Mus musculus: one gene and its partners. The protein of the gene in region 2 purifies or fractionates together with the protein of the main gene of each other region. This does not show direct contact. Links are inferred from orthologs where the notes say so. Each region holds a gene or a part of one and is shown on either strand. Other genes may lie near its edges.

Evidence for each region.
Region 1: the proteins of Zmynd8 (region 2) and Rbbp7 purify together in Homo sapiens (affinity purification with mass spectrometry; 3 studies listed by BioGRID and IntAct, with this or other methods). This does not show direct contact. The link is inferred for Mus musculus from reciprocal best matches to the Homo sapiens genes ZMYND8 and RBBP7.
Region 3: the proteins of Zmynd8 (region 2) and Csnk2a2 purify together in Homo sapiens (affinity purification with mass spectrometry; 6 studies listed by BioGRID and IntAct, counting the BioPlex papers as one, with this or other methods). This does not show direct contact. The link is inferred for Mus musculus from reciprocal best matches to the Homo sapiens genes ZMYND8 and CSNK2A2.

The regions. Positions count from the first base shown.
Region 1 is NC_000086.7:162,765,702-162,771,118, forward strand, and holds part of Rbbp7 (histone-binding protein RBBP7), read left to right. Parts: intron 1-3,150; coding exon 3,151-3,296; intron 3,297-4,062; coding exon 4,063-4,236; intron 4,237-5,351; coding exon 5,352-5,417. UniProt on the Homo sapiens protein: Core histone-binding subunit that may target chromatin remodeling factors, histone acetyltransferases and histone deacetylases to their histone substrates in a manner that is regulated by nucleosomal DNA.
Region 2 is NC_000068.7:165,881,610-165,887,126, reverse strand, and holds the start of Zmynd8 (protein kinase C-binding protein 1), read left to right. Parts: upstream 1-2,288; 5' UTR 2,289-2,505; coding exon 2,506-2,519; intron 2,520-2,887; exon of another isoform or gene 2,888-2,948; intron 2,949-3,733; exon of another isoform or gene 3,734-3,799; intron 3,800-4,675; exon of another isoform or gene 4,676-5,422; intron 5,423-5,517. UniProt on the Homo sapiens protein: Chromatin reader that recognizes dual histone modifications such as histone H3.1 dimethylated at 'Lys-36' and histone H4 acetylated at 'Lys-16' (H3.1K36me2-H4K16ac) and histone H3 methylated at 'Lys-4' and histone H4 acetylated at 'Lys-14' (H3K4me1-H3K14ac).
Region 3 is NC_000074.6:95,484,987-95,490,503, reverse strand, and holds the start of Csnk2a2 (casein kinase II subunit alpha'), read left to right. Parts: upstream 1-1,683; 5' UTR 1,684-2,056; coding exon 2,057-2,160; exon of another isoform or gene 2,161-2,302; intron 2,303-2,343; exon of another isoform or gene 2,344-2,827; coding exon 2,828-2,939; intron 2,940-5,517.

The DNA of each region.
Region 1 (5,417 bases), on a different chromosome or scaffold from region 2:
TTTTCGTCCATCTTAATTAAGAGAATATAGAAGTACATTAATTTTTTTTTGTCCTGAAGATTGAATCCAGGGCTTCATAATTGCTGGTCAAGCACTCTCCCACCAAGCATTAGTCCCAAACACTTTTTTAAAATTTGAAATAAAGTGTCAGCTACTGGGAGTGGCCTTGAACATGAATCCTCCTACCTCAGCTTTTGAGTAGCTCTGATAACAACACTATATCACCAGACCTGGACTCCTTAGGTGTTTGTTTGTTTGATACCAACTGACCTCTACCTTTCAGTTCCTGGGATTTATTTTTTATGATAGCAAGTTGTTGATTTACCTTTTTCTTTTTAAAGTACTCTTTTATTTTTTATGAGTACACTGTAGCTGTCTTCAGATACCAGAAGAGGGCATCAGACCCTATTACAAATAGTTGGAAGCCACTATTTATTGCTGGGAATTGAACTCAGGACCTCTGGTTGACTTAACTTAATAAAAGTGTATTGGAAAGCCAATTGTGGTGGCACATAACTTTAATTAATCTCAGTACTTGGGAGACAGAGACAGCAGGACCTGGTCTACATACAAAGTTCTAGGGCAGCCAGGGTTGCATAGGCCCCATCTCTCAAAACAAAAAGAATATATTGGAGACTTTACTATTCAATATGCTGACACACACCCATTCTTTATGAAGATGCCACACAATTCTACTTACGAATACAGTTTATGTCACTATTAACTTGTTTGTTGATGGGTATTTATTTAGGTTGTTTTTGGTCCTTTGCTGCTATAAACAGTGCTACTGGAAATAGTCTTGTAATACAGCATATTTTTGTGATTGTTGGGTCAATTTCTTAGTATTGCAAGGATTTTGGTACTAAAGCTAGATAGGATCTTTATAAACTTGAGATAGGGTCTATCTCACTGTGTAGCTTTGCCTGACCTGAAGCTTATTGTGTAGACCAGGGATGAGGTCTGCTCTTAGAGATCCACCACCTGCCTCAACCTCAGAGTACTGAAATTAAAGGTGTGTACCACCATGCGTAGCATAGATGTTTTGTCATTGGTACCTTTGAGTGTGTCCAATATTGAGAAAAATAATGAGTTCAGGAAAGCAGGTTGTTGGGGGCTGGAGAGATGGCTTAGCGGTTAAGAGCACTGACTTCTCTTCCGAAGGCCCTGAGTTTAAATCCCAGCAACCATGTGGTGGCTCACAACCATCTGTAATGAGATTTGACGCCCTCTACTGGTGTGTCTTAAGATGGCTACAGTGTACTTACATATAAATAATAAATTTTTTTTTAAAGGAAAGTAGGTTGTTTCTGTTGACCAGTCTGGCCTCAAAGTTAGAGATCCACCTACCTCTGCCTCCCAAGTGCTGGAGGTTAAAGGTGTGTACCACCATGATCTGAAGTAGGTTTGATCTAATGAAGGACTTATTAGTAAAACATAAAAATAAATCTTTATGTGAGAGAAACAAGTCATGTGAAACTGGAATATTTGAATTTGAATCAAATTTTTAAGATTTCCCCCAGTTTAGCTGGAACAATACTTCTTCCAAAGGTCATAGATGATAGATAAACTGTCTATCTGACTGCTTTTATTATATATACTTAATGGTCTTCATTTTCCTGCATAGCTCCACTAAAAAATAACCTTTTGTTTCTCCTCCATAACAGGTCTCTTTTGAGATATATTTAAGATCCCTATAAAGGTTTTAGTTTGTCCATGTTCTAAATTACATTATTGAAGGCCTTTCCCCGTCTCTAACACTAGAAATTGAACCCAGGATTTCACGCATGAGAGTTGAATGCTATACTACTACCAAGCTATATTCCCAACTCACTCTCTTTTTTTTTTTTTGAGTCAGGGCCTCTGCTTAGTTGTGCACACTGGCTGTGAACCTGAACTCACTGCATGGTTTTGGCAGGCCTTAGTTTGTGATCTTCTTGCTTTCGCAGCCTGAATAATTAAGATTATAGATGTAGGACACCCAGCAAAAGCCTAAAATTTCCACAATAACTTTTCTGAGTAAAAATAAATATACATATGCCTGCCCTCACCCAAAGCCATATTTTTGGCTTACTATGTATGCATCAACCAATAGCTACCCTCCTCTCTAAACTTCGTATTGCTTAGTAACTCCTACCTATTTTCAGGAGTTGTGTGTTGTTTTACCATAAGCCAAATTTTAATTTGATAGCACTTAATTTTGTAAGTTATTACTAAAGGACATGCATGGACATAATTTCCAACTCTTGGTTGTTATTTTTAAACGTTACTGCTTCCTTTGTACAGGAGAAATTTAGGAACAAACAGATATGTGACCTAACTTGTCTGGTTTTGGGACTTCTTTGTGGGACAGTGGGGCGCAGTTGAAATTCTTCTGGATAAGACAATGGGAAAGCATTGTTGATACTTAATAGCAGTGCAAAAATTGCTGTTTGGTCGATGGTGGCAAAAGACACTGGCAAGTTCTTCAGCCTGAAAGTGAATCTCCATAGAGTAAGGTGACAGAAACACTTGAGAATGTGCATTGCATAGGTATCATAAACAAAAAGAAATGATTTTATATCATGCCATTTCACTTAACCTATTTTTCAGGTGAAGAGAATGAGACTGGAGAGAGGTTGTACATACAGCTATTTTTATAGGTTGCATATATAGCTAGATTTAGTTTGAACCAGTATATAAACCCCCCTTTTTTCCCTTACCACTTCACTCATTCTGTTTTATCTCATTGGGAAAACAGAAACATCTAGCATAATAAACATCAGCTATAGGCTAAATGTACAATTTGAGAAGTCTAGAGTATTGGATCAGTGATGAACTTCTATGTAGATAGATGTTGGTATGTTTGGTGAGTTGAATCTACTGTCCTTAATGCTGTTCTAAGAAAGGTAGCATTCACAATGATAATTGAAGGCAAGGAAGATGACTCTCCAGGCAGGAAAGAAAAACTAAACTCTTCAAATAGAATGTTTTCTTACATTTGAAAGTATGGGGATAATAAAGTTGGTAATTAGATGGGAAGCAGGGTTTTGTTGGTGTTCTCTATATATTTGCTGAAGAAATGTTCATGCTAATTTTGAGGGAACCAGACTAAATTTGTTAGCAGCTGAAAATTGTATAGGATTAGTTTCACTTTTTTTTTCTCCTAAACAGACCAGAAGGAAAGGATTATGCCCTTCATTGGCTAGTGCTGGGCACTCATACATCTGATGAGCAGAACCATCTGGTGGTTGCTCGAGTTCATATTCCCAATGATGATGCACAGTTTGATGCTTCCCACTGTGACAGTGACAAGGGAGGTGGGTATACTACATATTTCAACATTAACGTCAAAGGGAGGAGTCATCTTAGCATGTAGATTAAAATTTGTAGTCAGCTTTTGGCTTAGCCATGTAACTTTTATTTGGTTTTTTTTTTTTTTTGGGTGGGGGTCGACACAGGGTTTCTCTGTGTAGCTCCGGCTATCTATCCTGGAACTCACTCTGTAGACTAGGCTGACCTTGAACTCAAATCTGTCTGCCTTTGCCACCCAAGTGCTGGGATTAAAGGTATGCGACACCACTGCCTGGCTTTTGTTCTTTGTTGGTTTTTTTGGGGGGGGGGTAACTTAAAAGAAGTAGTCACACATATGTGTTGAGGTTTTTTCACAGTAACATATACAGTACCAAGAAATTAGGATCAGTGTAGCAAAATAAGAGGGTCATGGGACATTGATTAAGTACATTATAGTGTGTTTAAAATATTACTCTGCAACTAAGAATGAAAAGAAAAACTGGTATGTAAGGTGAGATTTTTATAAATAATCAGATCTTAACTAGAAAGGCCAGTTTTTAAATTTTTTTATATCCAAGGTAGAACCAACTGTATTAACATGAGGTAGCAATCCATATAATGCAGATGGGCTTTGAGATCAATTTCATATAGCAGATAACTTGTATTTTGGAGATTTTCTTTTTCTCCACTATCTGTTTTCTATTCGGACTGTAAATTTGGTTGAGTTGATTGAGTTAAATGACTTGTGAGTAATAATCCTGAATGTATATGTTTTATGTCTCCTCACATTAGAATTCGGTGGCTTTGGTTCTGTAACAGGGAAAATTGAATGTGAAATTAAAATTAACCATGAAGGAGAAGTGAATCGTGCTCGTTATATGCCACAGAATCCTCACATCATTGCCACAAAAACACCATCTTCTGATGTTTTGGTTTTTGACTATACAAAACACCCTGCAAAACCAGGTATGTAATAATAAAGCCAGGCCAGTACACATCTTTGTTGATTGGAGACGATAATATTTTAAAAATAAAGTACTGTACTGTGTAGGCTGGAGAGATGGCTCAACAGCAGTTAGAAACTCTGGCTGCTCTTCAGAGGATGTGCATTCAATTCCCAGCACCCACATGGCAGTTATTTTATAACTTTCAAAGTGAGGAATCTCATAACCACCTGCAAGTTTGGTGATTTGCTAGAACCTGATAGCAGATTATACTTGCAGGTGTGGATCCAGGGCAAAAGCAGAAGAAAAAAAGATGAATCAGGTAGATCGGGGACCCAGACAGGCTTCTGAGTATTTCCTTTCTGGGATCAAACAGGACATGCTTTTTCTGTAGCAGAAAAGTACAGGAATTTTTGCTAAGTGACTGTCCAGAGGAGCCTGTTTGAGGCCCAAGGTCTGGGGCTTCTAAGGTAAATTTGGTTACAGGCTCTGTGTACACTCATGGTAATGAAAACCAGCAGCTTCAACAATGAAGTTAGATGAATACTTGATAAACTGTACTACAAGTTGCTGCAGCATGTTTTCACTGCTCTGAGCATGTCACATTCTGAAAGGTTGGCCAAAGGTCATTCATGGTTTCAAGATACCCTGGGTATGCAAGGACTAAATGAGTAACCAGACATGTTAGATATATTTCTAAAAATTGCCTTGGGATGAGAATGATGGGGTAGCTACTACACAGATGGAATAGCTGTACTTGTCAACATTTCTGTAATAGTGATAATACTGTTGTTTTTTTTCCCCAAAACCAGTCAAAGCACTTGTGGGTTATATGTACTCTTGGTTGGTTGGTTTGTTTGTTTGTTTGTTTGAGACAGGGTTTCTTCTCTGTGTAGCCCTGGCTATACTGGAAGTAGCTCAGTAGACCAGGCTGGCCTTGAACTCAGAAATCCACCTGCCTCTAGCCTCCCAAGTGCTGGAATTAAAGGAGTGTGCCACCACGCCCAGCAGATGAAGTCTTTGTTCTTGTAGAATTGCTCTTTTGGTTCACTCAATGAAAGGAATTTGAAGCTTGGCTCTTTACAATTCTGATAAACAGGTAACTTAGTGGTCAATGTGTTTCTTTTTTCTTCTTAGATCCAAGTGGAGAATGTAATCCTGATCTTAGATTAAGAGGTCACCAAAAGGAAGGCTATGGTCTTT
Region 2 (5,517 bases):
TGTGTGTGTGTGTGTGTGTGTGTGTGTGCGCGCGCGCGCGCGCGCGCTCCCGCTTACACAACAAGCTTTAATCCATGCGCTCCCCTGCTGTGTATGTATTCTCTTTTCCAATTGGGAAGTTAGGTGTCCCCAAGACCTATCAGCAACTCCGTGTGTTGTCGCCTCCCCTCACCCCCCAAGCCATACTTCATATGGCTGATAGTAGAGTCCGAAGCCACATGAAGGGGAGGGTGCCCGGATCAGGCCTCAGGTTCCCTGTTTGGTCCCAGTAAGGTTTCCCTCCCCAGTAAGAGCCGACCCTTCCCTTTGGGTGAAGCCAGGCCTGTTGTCCTGAGTGCCTTTGTCAGGCCTAGTGGCTCTGGAGTTGTCCCCTGCTGCTATCGACCTCAGCTGGTTCAAACAAAATCCTGTCTCCTTTCCAAAGCCAGGGTTTTGTCCTGCAGTACTGTGTGTTTAGATTCCTGGCTGGGTCTGGAGCCTGAGAGCAGATTCCCCAGCCAGGGAGAGTGCACACTGGCCTGCTGGGCATCTGTTGTCCTTGGGGGGCAGGGAGAGCAAGCCATCAGCTCAGCCCTTCAATTCCTTTGAGGAAACGCCTGGGGAGGCAGGAATGAGTCCTAGTTTCAGTAGCTGAGGGGGACTTTATTGCTTTCTGGGTCCACCTCCTGGTGTCTGGCTGCATCAACTGCCGGCCCCTGAAGAAAGGTGTTTATTTAGCGTCTTTTTTTTTTTTTTAAGAATCTTGTTAATTAAGGATGTTGTTGTTTTTAAAAAAATAGCTAAGAATAGGAGAGAGCCTTGGACAGTTTTTGATTCTCCTCTGTGCCTTTTCTACAAATGACAGTTTTTAGGAAAGAATCAGGCACTGGTCTCCCACCCAGCACCATCGGGGAGAATTCTAAGCAGGTCTGAGGAACTAGTTAATATTTTACTGGGGAGCAGAGCCAGAGATGGGGGGAGTAGGGGGACTGCCAATGTGAGGCTGTGTGTGTGAAATTGCCCTTCCATCTGCCTTAGGGGACGAAAAGAAGCAGTTCTCTGTGGAAATAAATTGAAGCAAGAAGCCTTACGAAGCCCAGGGGATTTGTCTGCCCACCAAACAGGGCCCAGTTTCCCCCCAGAACACACATACAGGGGCGATTGTGGCAGAAAGGGCCAACCTGTGGGTGTGTAGGCCTGACTATAATGGACGGGCTTGTTTCCTGGCCCGGTTTGACATCTTTCTCTGTCCCTCTGGATTTAAATGGCTTCTCTGACTGAGAGGCACTGCCTGTATGCCCTGGATTCACAAGGTCCACGCCTCCTTGGGAAGCAGAAGCGAGACAGCAGCTAGCTAGCTCCCTCTCTCTCTCTCTCTGCATCTGCCCGGAGAGCTGCAGCTGGTATTTTTCCACAGGCCCTTTTCTACAATCTCAGGGCCTAGTTTTTCCCAGCGAGGCCCAGAGTCCCAGAGAGGGTTAACAGGCAGGAAGCTGAAGGCATCACAGACTAAGACGGAAGTCAGATTTTTGTTTAACTGACAGGTTTAGCAGGCCTCATCGGTGGGGGGAGGGAGCAGAGGGAGGGAAGACTTAAATGGAGGCATGTGGCCTGCTAGCAACGCATTTGGCTTTTCTTAGGGTAAGCCTGGAGAGGGTATCTCCCTTGCCATCCTGACAGAGCCCTTTTTGGTTTGTCTTTGAGGATCGGCTGAGGGGTGGCGGTGAGAGGTTAGAGGTCTCCCAGTTTTGCAAATGGCTCTGTGGGCCTGCCTTTTTTCCAAGAGCCACTTTGACCATGACTAGGCAAACTTGATCGCTCCACCTCACAGCAAGCTGCACCTCTCAGCTCCCTGGAACCTGGGTGCCCCTTGCTGATTTGTTGGGGCTCCCTCGGGCTGCCTGTCTCACTCCCCGCGCGCGCCCCCCCCCCCCGCCCCCCTCAGAGGCCTGCGTCTGGCCTTGTCCCTATTGCTTCTGCCTCCCTGGGGCTCTCTCCACCCCTAAGCTCGACTTTGTCCTTTGAGACCCACTCAAGCTGGCTTGTTCTATAAAACGGCCTGCTCGCCTTCTTAGAGAAGGACTTGTGTGTGGGGGCAGGCGTGGATGGGTCAGCCAGCCCACCCCAAAAGGGCCCTTCCCAGTGGCGCGCTGGCTTCAGGCTTTGCTGGAGCAGGTCAGGCTGGCTGCACGGGTTTGCCTGGCCTGGGGGATCGAGCCAGGGGGTGGGAGAAGTGCTTGTGGAGGCCCCTGTCCCAAGTTTTCCCTCCTGCAGAAGGCCTAGCTTAGCCTGTCTTTTTCTATGCACAGGATGGCTCTTGCTCACCCGAGCCTCACAAAGATAATCGCTCAGGAAGTGTTTCAGCCAATCGGCGGCGGCTTTACACTCCGATTGGCCGGGGCAGCCAATCGGGGATGAGCTTTTATTAGGCGGCCAGATCATCAGCCGAAGTGCCAAACCCTTTTTCTGTGAGAACTAGGAGCCTGTCCTCCATGTTTTATAAGTATTGACATTACACAGTTAACAATGCATCCACAGAGGTAAGCTCGGCTTTTTAACCATCTTTTCCCCCCTCCCTCCGAGTCATCGAGTCGTGGACTAGCAGTGTGATTTCTCTGTAGCCTGGCTCTGCCACACTTCCCCCCCCAGAGCACTTAGGGTAACTTGGGACTGTTTAGAGAGATTTTTTTTTTCCTTTTTGGGTCACATGGCTAAGTAGCCATTAGCCATAGCTTGATTTTACAGACTGGTGAGGGCTTGGAATACCTTTATTTTGACCAGGACAAAGAATTTCTGGACTAGTTTGAAGCTAGATCCTGGTATGCCAAAAGAGAAGCTATTATCCCCCCTTCTTTTATTTTATTTTTCCCTCCCTTCCTCTCCCCCCTCTCCCTCTCTCTCTGAACAGTCCTCCCCCTGCACTGTCGGCCGCTGTGTGTCACATGCCTGCTGGGGGAAGAAAATGGAAGGTAAGCCAGAAGCCAGAAGGTCTTCTCCCAGCACAGTTCAGGACTGCCTGTGGCAGAGAGCAGAGCAAGCCAGCTTGCTTCTCCAGAGCGGTTCTGGGAAAGGCTGGGCTAAGTTCTGACAAGAGAGGATGCGTGTTTGCACCAGAAGTCAGGCCTGAACAAGAACAGTACTCAGGGACCCAGGCTGGTTCCTGGGCCTAGGTGGGTGGTGGCGTGTGGACTGTCATCTCTTCCTCTCCAGAGCTTCGCACTCGCAGCAACATTGTTCAGGGTTTTTTTTTCCTCCCCCCGACTTAGCTTGGTACAGAATGTTCTTCAAGTCAGCCTACAGCCAGCAAATGGTTCTGAAAGTGTTTCCTAGCCTCTGAGGGAGTTTTTGGAGTAGGCTTGGTGCCTGGGGGGTTGGGGGTGGGTGGGGTGGGAGTGGGGATGGGGAGAGATTTTGAATAACATCCTGAAGGGGGGAAAAAAAGAGATCTGTGAAGACTCTGACTCCTTTAGTTTTATACTTCTTGCATGATTTTTCCATGGGCTAATGTCTCTTTTATCCTTGTCTCCCTCCCCCCTTTTCAAACATTCTATCATCTTCTGTCTTCTGTGATACAGTGCAGGGGACATGGCTCATACATACCTGAGGCTCATGACAGCATCCCATATCCAGTTGCTGGGTTGTGTTGTTGTGGTTGTTGTAGTGGTGGTGGTGGTGGTGGTGGTGTGTGTTTTTAATAATACCATGTAACTGTTTACCAAAAAAAAAAAAAAATTTCCTTTTTGATCAAGTCCCAAATCTGCCAGCCTGTCCTCTCCTCCTAACTGGGGAAAAGTGAGACGGTTGCTTGAACGTGTGTTGGGTAAGTAAACCTGCCTCCTCTGCGAACGTGGATCAAGAGTTTGGTGAACCTCTGGGGTCTGTGGTAATGGGGGTGGGGAGAGGGTGGCTTCCAGAGAGTGTCTTTGAGTTTAGGTGATGGCTGGAATCCACTGTTGTTCCTGCTAATCTGCAGTTAGGGCTGCAGCTCTCACTTCCTGCTTACTCTCCGCTGGGGGCAGGAATTACTGGGTTCCTTGTGACTCGCAGCTAGACCTTGGATTGTGCTTGGCTCTTCTGAACTCTGGGTAGGTGATCTGCTTGTGAAATGTGAAATGTGAGCAAAGCTGTTTTGTCCTTCCAGGGTTCCAGAGCCCCCCCCCCCCACACACACACAGGGCATGTGCCTGCATGTGCGCCTTGTGTTTTCATATGTAAGTTTTATGGTGTTTACATCTAGAACAGAAGCCTAGCCACTCCCAAACTAGGTTTGGCTTAGAACCCACTGACCACTAGATACAGCCTTCACCTCCCTGAAAGTCTGGGCCACACACCCCTGTACATGTTGGCTTTGCATTTGCCCTACTTTTGAGGCTGCAGCTAGAATCTTAAAGTCCTCACCTTCAGGGTCCACCTGGAAACTCACCACATCTAGTTCCTGCTTTGAGACCCAGTCAGGCTGCATGGAAGGGCTGTCTCTGAGCAGTGGTTATCCTAGGCCAACGGCACAGACTCTTGACTTTTTTTCTTCTAGTGTTCAGGCAGCTGAAGCTTTGACATCAGTTGAAAAAGGTTCACTTAGTAAAGAGAGACGGACTAAATTATCAACTGGGCAGTCTGTGTGGGGCAGGCCGGTGTCGCCGAGTCAAACACAGGTGGGGTATAATGTTCTTTAAGCAGTGCCTTAGCCGCACACAAGTTCTGTTACTCTCTTTATTCTTATCTCCTTGCTGTAAGTGGAAATTACAAACTGAGTTTCTTGAGGCCTCTGCAGATCCAGTGGCTAGTCACCAACCTCCTGGTTTGCCTCTCTCAGCCTTTGCGTAACTTCTTGGGCTGAAAGGAAACTTGAGGGCAAAGCGTTTGTCCTCTAAGAGCACGCATTAAAATGGCTCCTACAGGTTTGGGAAGCCAGGATCTGTTTGTGAGTGTGAACCTCAGCCAATTTCCCAGCCCTGACTCAAGCTGGCTGCTTTTCCTCGTGGCCACCACAGTGCCTGGGGTTGGTAAAAAGTTAATTGCTTTCGAAGTAGCATTCTTTTCCAGTTACTAAAGGGGGAACTAAAAAAAAAAGTCTGCATTGCAGTTGGACCGGGTGGGATCTTAGTGCAGGCCCACAGATTAGCCCAACGGGGTTCCCCTTTCTTCCTGTTCTCTTAAGCCAGCAGATTTAGGGGAAAGGTTAAAGATTGGCATTTGCAGTGGCCTGAGTAAGGACTTCTGGAAATTTCTACCATTTGTTGTTGTTGTTCCTTTTAGGAAAAGCAGGTGGCCAAGCTGAGGAGTCTCTTGCATTCCATCCTTAGGACTCCCCCATCCCCCACTTCGCTTTCCCTCATCCAGGTGGAGGGTTCAACACTTGTGCAGATTGCCGAGGCGAAAACCAAACGGATGGGCTGTTTTCCTTTTTCCTCCTGCCTTCTTGGTCCCCAAAGAGGATGCACAGCTGCAAAGGGACAGATACAGACACTGATGCACGCTCGCTCTCTCTCTCTCTCTCTCTCCCCCCCTCTCCCCCTCCCCCTCCATCCCACTCTCCCT
Region 3 (5,517 bases), on a different chromosome or scaffold from region 2:
CTATGTAGCTCAGGCTGGCCTTGAACCCACAGTCTACTCCTCAGGTAGGATTACAGTGTGCAGCCTCAGGGGTCGCTCTCAGTCTCCTTTACTCTAGAGCAGCACCTCAAGTTTTGTTTTGGCTGTGACACTGTTATTTTTTAGCAGTGTGAACTAGATTTTTTTGCTGAACTGTCCCTCAGTTTGGCCGTGTCTGGTTGGATGCAGGTTGAGCTTTTTTGACAGCAATGTGATGAGTGGTGTGTCCTTTCTCTGTGCGTCACACAGAAAGTCAGCTGGTCCATGCATAATATGACCTTCAGGGTCCCCTTTGTAACCAGCATGGTAACCGTGGGCCAAGAGCACTGTGTTGACTGAAGGCCTCCTGCCCGGCAGACACTGAGTGACCTGGTGGTGATCACCCAGCCCTAGTCATGCCTTCACATTGTTTTCACAGGGAGGGGACAGATGGCAAACCAGGAGAGGACTCATGCCAAGCTGTAGTTTTACGAAGGGCATGGAGGAGTCGCTGAGAGAAGTATCAACTTCAGAGAAAGTGGCCTCTAAGGTGAGATTTGAAAAAGAAAGCCAGTCATTTGTGGGGTGGCAGCGGTACCCCGTGGCCAAGCTCAGAGAGAAGAAGAAACTGAAAGACGGGCATGCGCTATTCTCAGGGAAGGAAAGGTGTAGAGTTTAACAACAGCGGGAACATGTAGTGTTTTAATATGGAGCAGTCCTTAGTCTCTGTACAGCTCTGTGAAGTCGGTGCTGGGTTGATGCTACAAAATCTGTAGCACGGAGACGTTGAGTCATTGGTTCAAATCTGCATTCCTTGCAAACTATGGAACCGGGACTTGAACCTCGATAGTTCGGTATGTGAAGAAAGAGGAAACGTGGCCTCATCTAGAAAACAGTGTGTGGGGGGGAGGGAGAGGGGGAGTTTAGAGTCAGAGCAACCTGGGCTGGAAGAAGAGATCCTTGTTGTTAAAGAATATGAACAGGAAAACAAGATAGCCGGGGACCCCAGGACATCAATGAGAGAGAAGACTGTTCAAGAAGTCCTCACTCCCCAGCTCTCCCTCCTCCCAAACAAACAAACAAACAAAATGGATATTTACATTCTCAAAGTATGATCCACAAATTACAGGTTCAATACAAAGGGGGAAAAACCCAGTTAACTTTATGGGGAAACTATCTGGTGGGCTCTGGTTTAAGCAAGTGGCCCAAAGGATGGCTCAGTGGGCTCTCAGGGAGGAATCTGGATGGGGAATTGGGAGGCGAGGGTAGCTTTAGGACTAGTTTGGTTTTCCTCTTGAAGGAAGGGATCTGTGGATGGCAGGGTGGGGTCCAGAGTGGGAAGAGGAGTGAGGAAGGGGGACAGTTTGAGGGGAGGGTTCTTGGGTTTCAAAGAAAGTCAGCTCAGGGCCAATATGGGAGGTCGTGGTGGGTGGACACGAGGTGACTGGACAGTGGAACTATGCTAAGCGCGGCGGCAGTCAAAGGTAGAGACTTCTGGGGGGTGGCCTGCAGTTGGGCAGGCAGCCGGCCACATTGCTTGGAGGGTGGCGAGCTCGCTGAGGGGGCGGGCGCCGGCCATAGTCCCCCCGCACTGTAGGGGGCGCTGTGGGCCGGGGCGGGCCGGGGCTGGGCGGCGGCCGCTCCTGGCGAGTGCGGCCCCTTTTCCGGGTTTCCTCCGCCTCCTCCTCCTCCCTCTTCGCCGCCGCCGCCGCTGCCGCTGCCCCTCTCCCGACCGGTGGCTGCCGCTGCCGCCACCACCGCCTCTGGGGGGCCGCGAGCCGAGCGGAGGCCTCCGCGGAGCACGAACCCCGCCGTCCCTCCGGCAGCCGAAGGCCCCGGGCCGGCTCGGCCGGCGCCTTCCGCGCCCCCCGGCCCGAGCGTCCGTCCGTCCGCCCGCCCCCGCGGGCCCGGCCTGGCGCGGACGCCCGCCGCCGCCGCCGCGCTCCTCCTCTTGCTTGGGCAGCCCGCGGCCCGCCGCTTCCCGTGCCTGCCGCCCCGCGCCCCGCGCCGCGCCGCCGCCGCCCTCGGCGCCCCGCGGCGCCCCCCGGTCCCGCCCGCCATGCCCGGCCCGGCCGCGGGCAGTCGGGCCCGGGTCTACGCCGAGGTGAACAGCCTGAGGAGCCGCGAGTACTGGGACTACGAAGCCCACGTCCCGAGCTGGGGGTAAAGCCGCCGCCGGCCGCCCCACGCGCGAACCGCACCCGCCGGCCGCTCGGCCTCGGGGCTGGCAGGGAGGCCCGGCCCCGGCCGCACGTGTCCCCGGCCTCTCCTGTCCGCCCTGCCTCGGTCCCCGGCTCAGCCGCCGGTGGGGAGAAGCGTGGGGTCGGGGGTGGGGGCGGCCCTTCCTCCTCAGACTTTGGGCTTCCTATGGGTTGGGAAGTCCATGGCTGTCCTCTTGAGCTGTTGAAATCTCTACCTCTTTACTTTCTGAAATGAGGCTGGGTGGGAGGGTCATTTTGAAGAGGGGCAGATTGTCTAGAGCGGGCAGTGCCCCCTGGAAGGTGTGAAATGGGAGGCAGGTGCCGTGGAGCCACGGGCAGGGCACCCCAGTACCACCAGGGGGGATGCTTCCCTTAGTCCCCTTAATGGCTCCTGAGGCCTTGTAGCTGCCCATTCCTCTTCTTGTTAAGAGTCAGTTAGGTTAGGAGCTCTGCAGAGTGAAGGGAGCCAAGCTTCTGTGTGGCTCTCATTTAAGAGAATGAGTTGCTGTGTGATGGTAGGAATACTTCCGAATGCTTGATTAGTTGGAGATGGCGGATGGATGTGTGGTGGACAGAGGCTTGCTTAATCCCAAATCCTGGCATTTATGTATATCTCTTGCCTTTCACAGTAATCAAGATGATTACCAACTGGTTCGAAAACTTGGTCGGGGCAAGTATAGTGAAGTATTTGAGGCCATTAACATCACCAACAATGAGAGGGTGGTTGTAAAAATTCTCAAGGTGAGTGGCCAACGGTGGCATGTAACCTTTCCCCCCACAGGGCAAAAGAACCAGCTATCCCAGAATAAGCATCTCCTACAGGACTCCTACCATGCTTTTCCTTGTGAACTTTTGAGAAAATGTGCGGGCTGGTCTTAATTCTGAGTTTGGTAGGTCAGGAACATTTAAAGTGTGAATTCTGAACTTCTCAAACAAAGCTTGTGAGGGGGGACTGTATCTGATATGGAATAAAGAGGTATTCGCAAGAGAGGAAGGAGTTTGCATGGAGAATCTGTCAACTGTAGGGATTCTAAATCTGTACTCGTTACTCTCTGCTCCCAGTTACTCCAGAAAAAGTCCGGAAAACCCAAAACAAAACAAAACTGGAGTCTGCTCAGAGATAAGTTTAAAGCCAAAAATTCAGGACAATTCCCTCAGTTGATATTTTCATTTCATGTAGCAGTAAAGTTTCAGGTGGGCTGGATATAGCAAGCCAGCCGCTAAGAGATCTGGGGCAACAGAAGAGTACATTCTAGCCCCTGAAATAATAACTGGAACAAAACTTGTCTCTGTGGCAAGACTAGCCCTCTCGCTTTGATAATGATAGGGCTTTTGTTATCACTCAAATGAAGACATGATCTTAATGAGCATGAAGAGTCAGCCAAGTTTCTGTACAGGTGATTGAAGATTCAATAGTGCTTTGTAGGTTGTTCGAGAGGGTGGTTCGTAGGACCTGAGCGGTTCTTCATGGTTGTCAAGTCATTTAAATGCATATGCTTGTCACCTTAGGATCTGGGCAGTTTTTCATGTTGTCAGATCACTTAACATGTATGTGTGTCACTAGTGAAAGAGCACTGGAGAGTGGTAGTGTTTCACCAGATTTTCACAGTGCCCAGTGAACAAAAATGCAGGATTGAAAAGCTTGTGCCTTAGGGCAGTTCTTATTTAATTGTGTAGATTTTAGCGTTGTGTGAATCACCTTTCAAAAAAAATGGCTGCTGCTAATGCTCCTTACCATCCTGGCCTAGTGATGAAGGAGCAGAGTTGCTGCAGAGATGGGTGATGCTATTGCTGCTGCCCAAGACACTGGGGTGAGAAGGAAGGAATGATGGCAGATAGGGAGCTTGGCCCCGCTAAGTATGAGTTGTACATTGGAGGTCTGTAGTTATGGGAGGGGTGTGTTTTAAGCAGAGAAATGTTTCCTTCAGGGAACTTGCTGGAGGAAACCATGCAATTTCATTACTTACATAAACCTGTTTTGAATAGAAGTTACTTCAGACATTTTCATTTTAAGGATAAGCAAAAACAAGCATAGTTGGGAATATCCATGTTCTGTTGCTGCACATTTGGAGGATTGAATTTGCCAAGTCTAAAGCAATTTCAGGGAAATGTCTAAATGTCTGTGCAGTAGCATTTTGGGACTAAGTGCTGTTTGCTGTGGAGTGTTTGGAAGGGAACAGTGCTCAGGTGTGTGTAAGCCCCAGTGTGTTTAAGGAAACATAGGGTTAGTAGTTTCCCATGGTTCTTGTGAGGAACTTCAGAGATGAGTTGCTTGATAGTTTTTCCTCTGCTCTAAAGATCCAATGCATATATTTACCACATCCAGTACGGAAGCGGCTTTAAATTATTTTTACAGATAGCAGACCTAGGCACAAAGAAATGTACCTGACATCATTGTTCTGTTGAAATGGACCTTCACCAGAGCTCTTCCTTCCTACTTCTTCATTCCTCTGAGTGTTCATTTCAGCCTGGGCTGTAGGATCTTAGCACTGAGCACAGGTTCAAGTTCAAGCATGAGATTTGGGAGACCCGCTCGATGCTCTAGTTCCTGACGTGTTTGGTTTTTCTCAGAGGGCAGTCTGAACCACCTCATACTCCTTTGTCAAACCACTGTGTAGGCATTTCTGTGTAGCTTTTCTTTATATTTGAAGGGTAGAGTAAGAAATCACTAATATTGTGGTTTTGCTTTTATAATGGATTGGAAGTATTTTTCAAAAAGAACAGAGGCTATACCAAAATTATGCTTATTACTCAAATAAGTTGAAGTTACGACTAATACCTACTATTGTGATATTTTCTCAGAGAAAATTAAGCCCTTAGCAGTGCCAGCTGCTCGGTTTAGGGCAGTCTGGGAAAGGTTTGCTTTTCATAGAATCTCACAGGAAAGACTAGGTGGGCACGTGGTGACTGAGACACAGGGCGCAGGCACTCAGTGACACTTCATATCAGTCTTTGTCATTTTGTCACAGTTGGGTGCGTAGTGATGGAGGGCTTTTATTTCATTTAACTTGCATGTAAGATTTCTAAGTATTTCATTTGTCAAGGTAAGTTGAGGCTATTAGAGGACTTTACAAATTTAAAAAGCTGCTAGTGAAAGGTCTGTGGGTTTTTTTGTTTTGTTTTATTTTTTTCTAAAACAGGGTTTCTCTGTATAGCCCTGGCTGTCCTGGAACTCACTCTGTAGACCAGGTTGGCCTTGAACTCAGCAATCCACCTGCCTCTGCCCCTCAGGTGCTGGGATTAAAGGCGTGCACCACCACGCCTGGCTTAAATGTAATAACTCTTAACAGTTTCTTTAATGTGTCTGTGTGAAAAAGTG